2 linked regions of the Diceros bicornis minor genome follow. The protein of the gene in region 1 binds, or shares a complex with, the protein of each later gene. Links are inferred from orthologs where the notes say so. Each region holds a gene or a part of one and is shown on either strand. Other genes may lie near its edges.

Region 1 (7,191 bases):
AAAGTGGAGAAGGGGCAGCTAGAGCCCATTCAGTAGGCCGTTGTGAATTCCTGATGGGAGGAGCGGCTCCAGGACCTGAAAGGAAGGAGCTGGTGTAGGGCCGCTAGAAGGAGGTGGCCAGGAGATCAGTGGAGCCCTTGCTGGGTGGGAAGTGCTGGGAGTCTGGGGACGGAGCGGAGAGTGTGATATGCTTCCTCCACTCCCACAGGCCTCTTTGGCTTCGTGATCCTCTCCCTGCTGCTGGTGCCCATGTACTACATCCCCGCCGGCTCCTTCAGTGGAAACCCTCACGGGACGCTGGAGGATGCGCTGGACGCCTTCTGCCAGGTGGGCCGACAACCACTCATTGCCCTGGCGCTGCTGGGCAACATCAGCAGCATTGCCTTCTTCAACTTTGCGGGCATCAGTGTCACTAAGGAACTGAGCGCCACCACTCGCATGGTGCTGGACAGCCTGCGCACTGTTGTCATCTGGGCAGTGAGCCTGGCACTGGGCTGGGAGGCCTTCCACCCACTGCAGATCCTCGGCTTCCTCATCCTCCTGATGGGCACCGCCCTCTACAACGGGCTACACCGCCCGCTGCTCACCCGCCTGTCCAGGGGCCGGCCCCCGGCAGAGGAGGGTGAGCATGAGAGACTGCTGGGTGGCTCTCGGACTGCCATCAACGATACCAGCTGAGCCTTCTGCAGGGCCTCTGCTGCCACCTGGACACTCCTTGTTCACCCTGAGGCTGAGGTCGCACGGGCTGGTGAGCCTCGAGTGCCCTGTGCCCAAGGCCTCACCCTGCCCCTCCCCACAGACCCCCAGGAAAGCTGCTGCCACAGAACATGACATGATACCCTGGTCCTCCTTTGTCACAACCCCCTGCAGAGAGGTGTTACCCAGCCCCCACAGGCCTGAGGACAGTGACCGACCCCTGCCTGGCTCCACGAGGAAGTCACTTAACCTTCTTGAGGCCACGATTGCCTCATCCGCACCCACCTGTGCCTCGTCTGCACCCACCTGTGCAGGTTGTTATGCAAGAGAATGAAAGTTAAGCACCGTATTTTCTAAAACTTGTAAGATATTCCCTAACCCTGTCTGGAGACCTAGGTTTCAGTCAGGCTGTGCAGCAGACTCGTGTATGCTCCCTAGCCCATTACCTGGTCGCTCTGGGCCTTGGTGTCCTGCTCTGTAAAGCAGAAGGTATCAACACTGTGGCTTCAGTGCCTTCCAGCCCCAGCTGGGCACAGTTTGTAGGCCTACGATTTTGACCTACCTGGGAAAGGAGTAACAGCCCATTTATTGGAAATGCCCCTCTGCCCACAGTGCCTCCTCCCCAAGCCTGTTTTGATGTCCTTGCTCACACACCCTCAAGTCTTCCCTGACTGAGAGGGATTACAGCCAGAATTCCAGGCAGCCCTTGATAACAGTGTTTAGGATGTCTTTACCTCCATTTTAAAGATGAGGAAACTGAGGCCTAGGGTTCTGTATTTTTTGGCAGGAGGGCTCTCTTGCTGTAGGCTCTGGCCATGCAGCCACATGATCCTGCCATAGGCTGAGATCTAGAGTACATTTGGACCTCAGCCCCCACCTCCCAACCTGACTCTTAGAGAACCCTCCAGGTTGGTGGACTTACCAGGATTCTACCATTTAAAGTAATTCTGGTATCCCAGGCATTGTGTTAAGTGCTTAACTTTCATAGCAGCCTGCACGGGTGGGTGCAGACAAGGCAACTGTGGCCCCAAGAAGGTTAAGTGACTTCCTCATGGAGCCAGCATTCTAAGCTAGGTTTGCCTGATTCCACACCTGGGCCCCCACCTCCCATATGGGTTTCCCTGGGGTCTTTGGGGGGAATTTCCTGTGGCTGGGATAGAAGCATTATGCTGTTGTCCTCCTGGTAACCCCACCCAGAAGAGATGGACTGGCTGGCATCAGGGACTGCAGGGAGCTGAGCAGCCCTCTGTTCCAGTGTTCCTCACTCTGGTAGTTTCTGGAGCCTCAGACCATCTTCCTGGGCTGCTCAATCATAAAACAAAGCACTGAATGCCTTCCTTAAAATAGGTTCTGGGGAAAGGATCTTTGACAAGCAAAGCCCTCAGACTATGCGGGAATCCAGCAGGTTCTTACAGCTTGTTGGGAGAGGAGGGCCTCTCCATCCCACCAGCTCACAGAAGAAGGAAATGGAGAGTGAGGGTGGTGGGGACTACAGCTGCCTTGTCCAAAAAACTGGGGCCTTAGAATGTTGTTTTAGGCTTTATTTTAAAAAGGGAAATTGGTAGTATGGACTTTTTTTTAACAAGAGGGAAGGAGCACAAGGGTTGGAACGTTCCTGGGGATAGCGTCTAGAATGTTGGGATGGAAAAGCTCTAATGTACCAAAGCATAGAAATCACCCAGTCCACCATTCATTGTTCAGATGAAGAAACTAAAGCCCAGAGAGAGGAAGGAACTTCCCAAGGTCACACAGCCAGTGACATGCAAAGCCAGATTTCCTGGTTCTCAGTACTTGCCCATCCCATTCTGCCACAGGGAGCGTAGCCAGGGGCCTGTACCGAGAGTCCAGGACTGCTCCTCTGCTGCGGACTGCCCAGCCTGTGCGCTCAACCATGCAAACCGCTTCAGAGGGTGTTAGAGAAGCACTTGGCCTTTATTTGAGTGCTGCCATGGGAGACTGTGTTGATTTTAATGTTGAAGGGGTGGGGGGAACTATAATGGGACTTCAGTGGTCAGGGGTTGCAGAGCATAGGGACACCCTGTCAGGCCTGCCACCAATTCAGGGAACCTGCTTTACCTCCTGGAGCTTTAGGTCTTCACATCTCCAAAATGAGAAAGCCAGCCTCCATCTTGCAGGATGAGTGTGAAAATTACATAAGATGATAAACTGAAGGTGCCTCTATGTGCCAGTGCACAGCAGAGTGTCACGTAGGGCTGCACTGTCCACCACAGTGGTCCATCGGGGGCACTGAAGTCCCAGCATTGTCACGGCACAGAACATCGGTTTTGCTCAGCATAGGAGAAATGTTTTATTAAAACAAACCATCATGGAGTAGAATGTGAAATTCACATCGATGATAAATTAAAACAGGATGCCTCCAGAAAATTTTATGCTGGCAGTAGGTGTCCTCCCAGGCCCTGGGATGTGTCCACTGTACCCTGTTGTCAGAGGTGCTTTGAGGGTGAATGAGAGGCCTTACTGTGTTGTGCTGGTCATGTGCAAGGGGAAGGACCTCCCCTCTCCTGAGTCTGGATGGTTGCGGGGAATGTCTGTAGCTGTGGCCTACTGTTCTGAGTGGAGTAAGGGAGCCCTGAATGGTGGGCATTTGGCGTGGAGGCCCTGAGCCCCAAAATCAGAATAACTGATAACAGACCTCCATCGGTTATCAAATATTTGAACATCGGTTCAAATACAGTGTAATTTAAATCATCCACATGGTGAACTGATTAGTCCTCGTAGAGTGATCCTAGGGGAGCCTGGGGCTGGAGCTTCCTCCAGGACTGCCATCCAGGCCTGGGAGTAGCCCTCAGGCTCCTCTCCACCGGGAATCTGCCCACAAGGCGGAGATTTAGTCCCGTGCCAAATGGTTCTGTTTGCCTTTACTTTGCCCAAAGGACTCTGCGTAGTTGAACAAGCAGACAGCGCTCCAGGAGGTCAGAGCTCTGACCCCTTATGAGGACTTCAGAGGAGTGGAGCAAAGGGCCTCCTGTGTAGGAGAAAGAAGCAGAATCTGGCGGCAGAGAGCTGTGTTCTCAGCCCTGCCTCTACCTTGACTGGATGGCCTTGGACAAGTCATGTTACCTCTCAAGACCTTGGCTACCTATAAAAAGGAGAGGTTCTCAGCATTCCTAAACGTGTTCACCTCCCTGACCCACTTATAGATTGCCTTTTGTTGACTACATCCTTTCAAAACTCGAGGTAAGCAGGGGTTTCCCTATGTAGCCATAAAAGTTTATAGATCACCCTTCTTCATTAAGAACACTTGTCAAAAAAAATTTAATAAGGGGTTTCTATCCCAGAATTCAGCAAACTTGATTGAGGACTGATGTGCTCCAAGGAGAGTGGATCCATCAAAGAACACAGGAGAAATGAATATGTAAAGAAAGAATTCCAGCACAGTGTGATGTGCAATAAGAGGCCTTTGTACGAGGTGCAGGGAAGGTAGTACAGGAGAGACCAGCTAACTCCATCTAGAACTGTCAGAGAGAGCTCCACTTGAACTGGGTGTTGAAGGATGAGCAGGAGTCCCAGCTGGGGGCTGAAGGGCAGGAGAAGGAGTATTCCAGGAAGGAACAGCTTGTAAAACGTACGGAAACGTGAAGGCGTATAACAAGGCGATGTAGTCAAGAACTGCAGGTAAGTGGACTGGTGTGCCTGGCAGTAAGCATGCAACGCAGAAGAGGCCAGAGAGGTGGGCAGGCGCCCAGACAGTGCTGTGCCCTCAGTGCTGCTGAGGCATTAGAACTCTGTCATTAGACGGTGGAGTGCCATGGAGAGTTTTAGGCAGGGGAGGCGACATGATCCAAATTGCTATTTAGAAAGATGACCTGGTGGTTATATGGAGACAGGTTTGATTGGCGTTAAGAGGTACTGAAGACAGAGACCAGTAAAACAACCTTTGATTAGGGTCTGGACTAGAGAAATGGGGGCGAGGATGAATATAAGAGCCATTCAGGGAGGAGGCTCACATTGCAGAGCCCCTGGCTGTCGGGTCTTCTATTGTGTAAGCCGCCACCAGAGTGGGTCTTCTCACCCCCATCGCCAGTGGACCCACGGAATATCCCCAGGTACCGCTCCAGCCAGCGAACTCAAGAAGATTCTGCTTTCCGGGACTGTAGACCTAGTTCACTTCAGCATGCCTGTTGAGAGTCGCTCCCTTCCCGAGCTGGGCTGGAATTCCCACCAGGACCGTGGAACAACCAAGGGGGATGTCAGCGTGGGCATCACAGAAACATCCAAAGTCGTCAGTGCAATGTGGTGTTCGTTTACTTTTAGTTATAAAGTCAGGAGAGAAAAGAGCACCGAGATCAAGATACAGGGTATTATTCTCGGGTTCAGATCCCCAATCCAAGGTAAAGACTTGGGTTGGTTGATAGGGCAAAACATAAAATGTTTGAGCAAAGTGATTTGTCTAGAGAAACGCGTTCTACAAACTCACCATCTACATCTTCAAAATCGAGCCTTCCCTTTCCTACCAGAGGGCACCCGAGGACTCGGGTCAGATCCCTCAAAGACGAGCACCCCGACAGGCAAGCGGAGGGCGGGAGAAGTTCCCGCCTCCCTTTACTTCTCCAAGTTCCCATAGGCTGAGTCCTGCTGTGGACCCGCCATGTTCCCGCTCTCTCCTCCTATCACCGCCGCCGTCAGGGTCCCGGGCTGTGTTCTCATTGGTCCTCCCGCAGTCGCTCTGCGCCGGGGCGTTCCAGAGGCAGCCACTGAGAGTCGCTGGATTCGGGTTTTAAAAAACGCCGGCAGGGAATCGGCGATGCGGGCGTTTTGAACGTGAGGCGGCGCGGCGGCTGCGGAGCACCCAACCGCGGGGCCACGGGTCGGGGCGCTGCCAGGCCGCCCGCGGACGCCAGCCTTGGTCTCCAGACTCCGAAGGCCGAGAAGGAGCCGCGGGGCCGCAACCCTCCGCGCCCGCCATGGGCCCGCGCCGCAAGCCCGAAGTCCCGAGGAGGCGCGCCGCCAGCCCGGCCCCCGGCAGCCCCCGGCGGGCCCCGTCCTTAGGTAACCGGCCGCGGCCCCTTCCCGGCACGTGCTGTGAGGTGGGCACGGCCGGCTCGCGTGCCCGTTTCGCAGACGAGAACACCGAGGTCGCGTGCCGAGCCTGGGGTTGTGCCGGAATGCCCCGGTTCCGGGTCCGCTAGCATCCTCTGCACTGGCCAGCGCGGTTCTGCCGTCCCCCATCTGCTCGCCGCGGCCCCGGGGACTGGGGAAGGCAGTGCCGCGCAGGAGAAGGACGGGCCCAGACAGCCTGGGTGCTGGTGCTAATTCTTCCCGATGCTACTAGCATTTATGGAGTGCTTACCGCTAACTAGACATTGTGTTAAACTCTTTACGAGAATTATCTCAACGTTATATTGTGCCCATTTTACAGATGAGAAAACCGAGGCGCAGACAGGCCAGGTGACTTGAACAAGGTCACACCCCTGTTCCGGCAGACACCGGGCTTTCAAAATCAGTTTGTGATTTTTTAAATTGCAAAATTATTGGCTGCTTTTTGTGACGATTTCAAACAACAATTCTGCTTTTAGAAAGTGCCCTTCCAGGGCCAGCCTCCATGGCCTGGGGTTTAAGTTCAGTGCACTCTGCTTCGACAGCCCCAGGTTCTGGTCCAGGGGTGCAGACCTACACCGCTCATCAGTGGCCATGCCGTGGCAGTGGCCCACATACAAAATGAGAAAGATTGGCGTGGATGTCAGCTCAGGGCGAATCTTTCTCAGCAAAAAAAAAAAAAGAAAGACGAAGGTACCCTTCCAGGTTTTTTTGTTTTTTCTCTTCAGTGAGTGGCTGTGTTGGGCCTTAACCAACGTGCTCTAACTCAAGCGGTGCTCTCACCTTGTTCCCTTCCCGAGGTTATGTGCCGGAAAGAAGACTGGTTTGTGGTCCTCAGTTTCTCTACTGTGGTCTGGTGGGTGGGAGACCCACTGGCAAGAACTGGGCTCTGTGGCAGCAACCGCTTTACTTGTCTTCTGCTGCATGACTAAGAGCAGGGTGAAAAAAGTATAGATTATTTATAGATGTTGCTGCTGTGAACGGGATTTTTTTTTCTTTCCTAAACAAATAACCTTTGCATCCAGCCAACCTGCTGAATTCTCTTGTGAATCCTAATAGTTTTTCAGTTGCTCCAGTTGAAATGTTTAAATAGGCTACTATATGGTCTGCAAATAATGACTTTCGAATCTTCTTTTTCCTATTTGTACGTTTTATTTCTTATTGTATGGTACTGTGGAGGCCCTAAGACTAGTGTTGAAATAGGAGCAGTGTTTTGGCCGTCTTTGTCTTGTAATTTTAACAGGAATGTTGTTAAGTATGATGTTTGCTGTTGCTTTCCGATGTAGAAATATCCTTCGACCCTGGATCAGGCAATTCTGCCTCCACATTGCATCCTTAATCTCCCCTCTTGTTGCCATCTCTGCTCCCATCAGCCGAGTCCAAGCCAGCAGCATCCTAGCCCAGCCACTCCTCCACTTCCTTCCACCCGCTTCCCTC
Region 2 (7,284 bases), on another chromosome or scaffold:
AGACTTGTAGATGGCTTCATGACTAGATTAGAGATGGATAGTATGCTGGATTTATAAGTGCATGGAAAGATTTGTAGATGATTGATCATTGGATTCATGGATGGGTGGATAGAATTCTGGGAGTTTGTGAATAGATAGATGACTAGCTAGATGGATGGATGGATGGATGAGTGGATCAACAGGAGACCTGATTCATGGGTGAATGGATGGATGGATGGAGAGATTCATGAATAGGTTGTGGAAAATCTGGTTCACTGATAAGATGTATGCAAGGATGGATGGGTGAATGGGAGAATGAATACATGAATGGATTCATGGATGAATTATGAATGTGTTGGTAGAAGACCTGATTAATGGATAAATGGATTCATAGATGTTGATGGATGATCCTTGAATGGGCTGGGAATCCTTGAATGGGCTGGGAAAAGAACTGATTCATGGATAGATCTATGTAATGATGAGTGGGTGGGTGGGTGGATGGATGGATGGATGGATGGATGCGTGGATACATGGGTAGATTCACCGATGGATTATGAATGCTTTGGCAGAAGACCTGAGTCATGGATGGACACATAGGTGGATGAATAGGTGGATAGATGTATCAATTCATGGGTGAACGACAAAGGAAAGGAAGGAAAGAAAAGCTTCTTCTCCCCACTCCCCTCCCCCCATCCTCCCATAACTCACTGGTTGGCCTTCTTGACTGTGGTGAATTGTGAGTGATCTCTCTTCAGGGGCCCCAGGGCAGGTATCTGATGGAGCAAAATCTTCTTAAGACTATTCCGGAAGTACGATGACTTGCCCCTTGAAGACAAATAGGCCACAGCTGGCATGAGTGGTCAAGGTCCCCCACCCTCGGAGCATCCATGGCAACCCTGTCCCCACCAACAGGTCACTGACACTTACCGCAGGTCTGGGAGGAAGGAGTAGTTGGGACACTGAGGACACCTCCGGCAGTGCTCTGACACACCCCTTTGATGTGGCGATGCTGGGAACCAGGAGGAGGTGGAAAGAGTTATGAGCCTTTGCTTGGGGACAGTCCTTCCTACGCTCTTCCTAGTTATGCGGCCTTGGGCCTCGGCTTCCTCATCTGTACAATAGGGGCAATGGTAGAGCCACCCTCAAGGGGAGGTTGCTAGGACTGTGCTAGGAATACACGACTAATATTAGCATCATTCTGGGCATCATGGTGGGCCCCCCACCGGAAATGACTCAGCCCCGCCCTTGCCCCGCCCCCTGGGGGCGCCACAGGGCCTCACTCGGTGGCTGCGGCTGCTCCTCCTCACGCTCCACCCCAAGCTGGCGCAGGAACCCCCGGAACCTGCTGGGGAGGAGGAGCTCCCCCAGGAGGGCACCCAGGGACTCCGGGGCCTCCTTGGCCGAGCCCCTTCGGGGGTCCTCGCACTCTCCAGGTCCGCGGCGCGGGGGCGCCGGTGCCCGGGGCGCGCGAGCCAGGAGCAGGGGCGGCAGTAGCAGCGACCTCAGCCCTGTGCGTTCCTGCGCCGCCCGCGGGGCCACGGTGGGCAGGGCGGGCAGGCGCGGCAGGGGGCTCCGGACGCCCACCCCAGGCTCTGTGTGCGAGGACGCGCACCTGGGGGCCTGCCACCACCCTGCGTCGCTCCCCAAGGCCCTCGAACTCCCTGAGCCCCCCGCGCCAGAAGATGCTCGCAGCTGGGGCGCAGGCAGCCTGGGCAGCAGCGGGTCGCTCCTTCGGCGAGCGCCGTCGCCGGGGAACCCCTTGGGCGCCACCTGCTGGGCCCCCGGGTTGGGGTGACGCTGGGGCATGGCTGGCCCTGCGCTGGGCTCAGGCCATCCTCACGTCAGTGGGGGCGGGGGGTGCCGTGTGAAGTGGAGAGGAGGGCAGAGACCTGCCCCCAGGCCATAGCGCCCAGAGCGGGGCAGTGTGGTTTGGGGGTGACACCACTGGCCCCCCAGACAGTGAGTGGTTCAGGCTAGAGCCTCTGTTTCCTCACCTGAAAAATGATGACGGTAGGCATACCCACCTTTTTGAGTTGCTGTGACGTTTAATGAGCAAGCGCATGTCAGTGGCTTAGAAGAGTGGCAGGCACGTTGTACCTGCTCAGCAAGACGAGTTGCTCTTCTTATTCTTTTCAAATTATTACTATTTAGGATTTAGTAATAATTTGTTATTGTATATATTGTATATATTGTATTGTATATATTGCTATATACAATAATTTAGTTACAAGGATAACCTTGTAACTTTGTAACCTAGAGAGCCAACTAATTAACTTCTCTCGGTGCCGTCAGGGGATAACAGAGCCCCTGCTCCTTTGTAAGAATGAATAACATCCCGCGGTAGAGAGCAGTTAGCACTGGAGTGTTCCAGTCCAGGAGGCTGTTACTGTTATTAGCGCTCTGCTGGGAACTGAGAAACCCAGAACCAGCTTGAAAGGAGAGACCCTCAGAGCCCCGTGGGTGGGGGCCTGTTGAAAATACAGATGCCCCGGATGCTGATTCAGTAGGTCTGGGGAGGGGCCAAGACACATATTTTTAATAAACACCTCCTTTGGAAGACAGACCCCAGGCCTGCCCCCTGCTTCTGACACTGGGGGTCTGGGAGCTGCTTCCTCCGTACCACACCCAGTCCCAGACTGTTGTCAGCTCTGAGCTGGCTCCTAGTGTCACACTCACCCTGGTGGGGCTTCTGGGTGAGGCCAGAGGAGGTCCTGTGAGTTTAGAGCCCCCTAACAGGTGGGCTGGTCCTTGGGAGAGCCCATCTTCCTGGCCTGGTCCCTCTGCAGCCCCTCCCTGCTGCCTCCAGGGCCTCTTCAGGGTCATTGTGATCCGCCCCCACCCAAGGCCAGCTGAGGAGCATCTGCACTGAGGCCTGGGGGCAGAGGGCGGGGCTGTTATGCTCAAGATAACAAGACTGCTGTCACAAGGGGGTGGTGGGGCTCCTGACCAGGAGGGACAGAGGGCCCAGGGTTCGGCTACCCCCTCCCAACCCGGAGGCCCAGGTGGGTCATGTTTGGGCTGGGTGGCTCTGGAAGTAAAACTTCCGCCAGAAGCCTGGGCAGTAAGAATGCCTGGAAACGAAGAGACCTATTTTGAGTCCATGCTGTGCTCTGTTTGCTGTGTGATGCTGGACAGGTTTCTCCTTTCTCAGGCCTCCATGGTCAAATGGACTGTTGGGCCCCGTCTATGATTCTCGGCTGCGAGGGGGCAGGGAAGAAGCTTGTACTGTGAAAATCGAGTGGGGGACAAGGCTAGTTTGGACCAGTAATTTCACTGGCATGGTATAATTTTATAATTTGAAAAATGAAAAAATGACTTTGTAATTCAAATTACAAGGTGCCTGCCTGGAGGAGGCATCACAGATGATGTATTTCATTGTCTGCAAATACTCCTCAACTAGGAATGGAAGGGCATACCTCATTGGGAAGTTAGAATAATGAATGGGGAAGGTGAGAAATTTTTATATTTATTCTAAGGCTATGTGAGTTTTTAAGAGCTGGACAAGGACCACCAGACTAACCAGCTGATTTCTAAGGAGCTCTCCAGCGCTCGCATGCTGCAAACATTCACTAAGTGACTGCTGTGTGTGAGGCTCAGGGATTCAGAGATGCAAGAGGCTTGGAGGTCAGAGGGCTGGCCAGAACTGGAAAGGCCTTGGAGCCCGGGTGTGAGGAAGAGACTTTCTCTTCCATCGACAGGAAAAAAAGTAGGAGTAGATTTTTAGGCACCCCAAGAGAGCTCAGAGCTGCGCCCAAAAGATTATGGACACCCCCAGCAATTGAGATAGCTTAGGGTTTATCCCTTTCCCATAGAGATATGGAAAGTGAAGCTTGGGAGAGGTGCCCAGGCCGGGGAACCAAGTCTGACCTCGAGTACTCTAGAGAGGATGCCAAATAATATGTACATAGACAGATGTGGGGCACTCAACAGCAGGTGGGGCTTTTCAGCGCCCCCCCCCAATAGCTTTCACTTCATTAGAGCCAACACACTGTAAGCACCTCCTGTGTGCAGCGCCCAGAGGAAGGCACTGTAAATCTAAGACCAGGATGTCAGTTTAGGAAAAAGGAACTTATGATGAATATTGTCATTATAACAGCTTGTTTACTGAGAGACCACGACAAGCCCAGGGCTGAAGGCTTCACATGCAATATCCCACAAATTTAACCCTCAGAGCATTGGAAGGTGAGTAATTATTACATCTGTCTGGCAGAAGAGGCGACTGAGGCTTTGAGAGGTTCACAAGGGCTAGCCACCCGCAAAATTACATTTCCATCAAGGCTGCTTCAAGGACTGCTCCAGAATTTCTATATATGGGAGGAGCCTAGGGGAGGGCAACCTTTTTGGAATGGGAACTTCATGGACTTGTTCTGCTTATTTGGGGTGGCAACCCCTTGGCACTGCCAAGGGTATTTCTTTTTCTTTCTTTCTTGGATCTGTATGTTATTTTAAGATGCTAGTTGTTATGGGAGAGATTTGAGGAATAAGGCTTTTTTTCCCCCTTTTTACCCAGTGAGAAACCCAGAGAACGCTCGTTTTTAAAAATCCAGGCTTGCAGCCTCCACATGAACCGGTGCACGTGCTGGAGGCGGGAGAGGGTCGGTGCTGCGGTCCTTTTAAGTCCGGGAGGTTCTAGGTCAAGACCCACTGGGCGGGGCAAGCCGATGGCGGGGCGGAGCCAGCCGCGGCCCCGCCCCCGGGAGCCCGGAAGTGACGTGAGCGGACAAAAGCGGCGCGTGCCGCGCGGTGTGGCGTCTGGCCGGGGGCTGACGGAGCTGGTGTGGCTGGTGGGGTCTTCGCCGCCGCCCTTTCCTCTTCCGCGTCCTCTTCTCCCGGTCCCGGGAGCCCCCGCCCGGGGTGAGTAGCGCGCGGCGGAGCGGGGGACGGCGGCGCCGCGAGAGGGAAGGCCCGGCCCCCAACTGCCTCGGCGCCCGAGGCCCCGGCCAGTCACGTGACCGGGCGCGAGCTGGCCGGCCTCACGTGCGCGCCCCGGCTTAGGGGGGGTCCCCGGTGGGGGAGGAGGAAGAGGCCGAGCCCCCCAAAGCCCGGGTGGACACCCCCACGCGGCCCCCCGTGCCGCAGCAAATCTCTTTCCGTCCCTGAGCCTCAGTTTCCCCCATGAGAAACGGGGATAGGGAGGGCACCCGCTCCGAGAGGTGCGTGAGGATTCAGCACAATGCCCAGTTCAGAGCCAGGCACGGGGTAGCGCCCGTGGCATAGGAGTTGCTATCATATTTCACCTGGACCCAGCCCCAGTGACGGCCCGACACAGGTGCCGCTCAGAAGACAGCCCCCGAGAGCCCTTGGAGCCAAGGTTAGCCTGTTTGCAGAGAGGCTGCCGGACCGAAGGCCCAGGCTGTGCTGCTCGTCAACTGTGTGGTCTCTCTCTGGACCCTGGGTTCTCCGTCTGTGCATTAAGGGATGGAAAGGGTGTCAGGCCGTGCCGGTGGGTGGGGCACCGTTGCCGATGGTCTGGGTGTACAGAATCATTGCCCGGTGAGATGGGATAAGCCCCTGGGAGGACCGGGGCCTTGACTGGGATGGGAAGTCTGGATTCCCTCCTTATTCTGTTGGAGTTTCCCTGTGTTTGTTTTAAGGCGCATCACTCTTTTAGTGGAATGGTTTTTCTGTCTGTGAACTGGGGACTGTGGGAGCTGCTTTGGTGAAGACCAGAAGCCACCGAGGCAGAGACAGCGGTCTCCAGAATCTCTGCAGCGTTTCTGTGTTGACACGGATGGGACGCTCACCCCTCCCCTGCAGACTTGCAGCGCTGTCTCAGTCTGCTGGGTTGACCACCCAGCATAACAGTAATAATCCCTAAGGTGTGTCCAGCACCCTACAGTTTACATTTTCCTCATTTGATCTTCGCAACTGGCAGAGAGAATGGATGAGAATCTTGTTTGACAGAGATGTATAAACTGGAGATAACATGTACCCTGCACTGTATGGATCACTTTATGTTTTTATATTGACATTTAATCATCACAGCCTCCCTATAAAGTCAGTATTGCTGTTCCAATTTTATAGATAAGGCAACTTACTTAACTGTTTGTGTCTTGTTTGAGCTGACACACCAGCGAGAAGCAGAGCCAGGCTTCAGACCTGGTTCATCTGATTCCGTCAGAGCCTTCATTTGTTTTTAAATTTTTCTCCCATTTTTTTTTTTGGTCTTCCTTATTCCCTCCCTCCTTTTCTTTCTTTTTCATAGAGCACCCTGCCCTTCTCATATGTCCAGCCGCTGTCCACACAGATCCAGGGAGAACAGGCCCTGTCCCACGGGCTGTGAGGGCAGAAGTAACTTGAGGCAGACTCTTGCCTCCTGTTGCTTTCAGGCTTTTTCTTAGAGACCAGTCAGTGAGGAGGATGAGATGACTCTGCAGAGCACTGACGGTGACAGTTCCAACACCGTTCTCTTCCCTGGATCCTGGGAGAAGAGAAGGTGGCTGGGGAAGCTGCCCAGGTGTTGCCTCAAACACCTTGGTGTGGGGAGATGGCCAGATGACCATGAAGGATGCACAGAGGAATTCCACCCCTGAGGAGCAGAAGTTCACTATGAGCAAAGGATTTCTCTTCCCCTCCGAGCTAGCCTAGAGCGCACACAAAGGCAGATTGTGCCCAGGCCCCTTCCCCCTCCCTGCAGCCATGTAGTTCCTCGCTGTGATCTGGACAGAGTCTAGGAGGACTGCCTGCTGTTTGACGACCCTGCTGTTCCCTCTGACTCCTGCCCACTCTAAGCTGGACACTGCAAGGCAAAGTGTAGACAGGGCCCCCCCGAGTCACATTTACTCATGAATCAGCTGTTAGAACAAACGTCAGAGTCATACTCTCCATTTCCCGGCCTACATGTGCCTCCCCCGGCTTGTTCCTAGAATCTGCCTCTAAGTGGAATTCTTATAAATTAAATTATTCAGGGGACCTTGACATTTAAAGGAATCATGTTGTAAGGCTTTTGGTAGAGCAAAAAATTATATTGTCAGTAATGGCCTTCAGTGTTATCAGTTCTGAAGGGCTGTATTTTTGTCTGTAGGATTTTCTTAAAAGTGGAAAATGACTGTAGCCGCACAAAGCTCATTCTTTGATTCCTTCACCAATTAGTAAACACCCACCTTGTGTCAGGTACTGGGCTAATGGTGTACAAGGTTGTGTGCCTGACCCAGGAGGCTTACCTCCTGGGAGGGAAGGCAAACGGATTGGCAGAGAGGACAGCCAGGGACACGTGTGGCCCCAGATCTATTCTGTTGATTTAATCGGAAGCGAAGTTTGTGTTGAACACCTGTGTGCTATGTGCGCTGCAAGAGAAATACAGGG

The links. The genes of interacting proteins can lie anywhere in the genome.
Region 2: the proteins of CENPA (region 1) and NTMT1 are in contact, whole or in part, in a crystal structure (PDB 5CVD), measured with the Homo sapiens proteins. The link is inferred for Diceros bicornis minor from reciprocal best matches to the Homo sapiens genes CENPA and NTMT1. Residues at the interface, in NP_001800.1 of Homo sapiens: Gly2, Pro3, Arg4, Arg5, Arg6, Ser7; in NP_001273725.1 of Homo sapiens: Tyr19, Trp20, Met30, Leu31, Gly32, Tyr34, Ile37, Trp136, Asn168, Ile175, Asp177, Asp180, Asp212, Glu213, Ile214, Tyr215.

The regions. Positions count from the first base shown.
Region 1 is NC_080751.1:55,990,028-55,997,218, reverse strand, and holds the start of CENPA (histone H3-like centromeric protein A), read left to right. Parts: upstream 1-3,925; 5' UTR 3,926-5,621; coding exon 5,622-5,706; intron 5,707-7,191. Other genes in the region: SLC35F6 (solute carrier family 35 member F6), read left to right, coding at 209-678. UniProt on the Homo sapiens protein: Histone H3-like nucleosomal protein that is specifically found in centromeric nucleosomes. Replaces conventional H3 in the nucleosome core of centromeric chromatin that serves as an assembly site for the inner kinetochore.
Region 2 is NC_080767.1:37,215,628-37,222,911, forward strand, and holds the start of NTMT1 (N-terminal Xaa-Pro-Lys N-methyltransferase 1), read left to right. Parts: upstream 1-4,128; 5' UTR 4,129-4,161; intron 4,162-4,718; exon of another isoform or gene 4,719-4,833; intron 4,834-5,573; exon of another isoform or gene 5,574-5,798; intron 5,799-7,284. Other genes in the region: C28H9orf50 (uncharacterized protein C9orf50 homolog), read right to left, coding at 688-804, 907-988, 1,260-1,785. UniProt on the Homo sapiens protein: Distributive alpha-N-methyltransferase that methylates the N-terminus of target proteins containing the N-terminal motif [Ala/Gly/Pro/Ser]-Pro-Lys when the initiator Met is cleaved.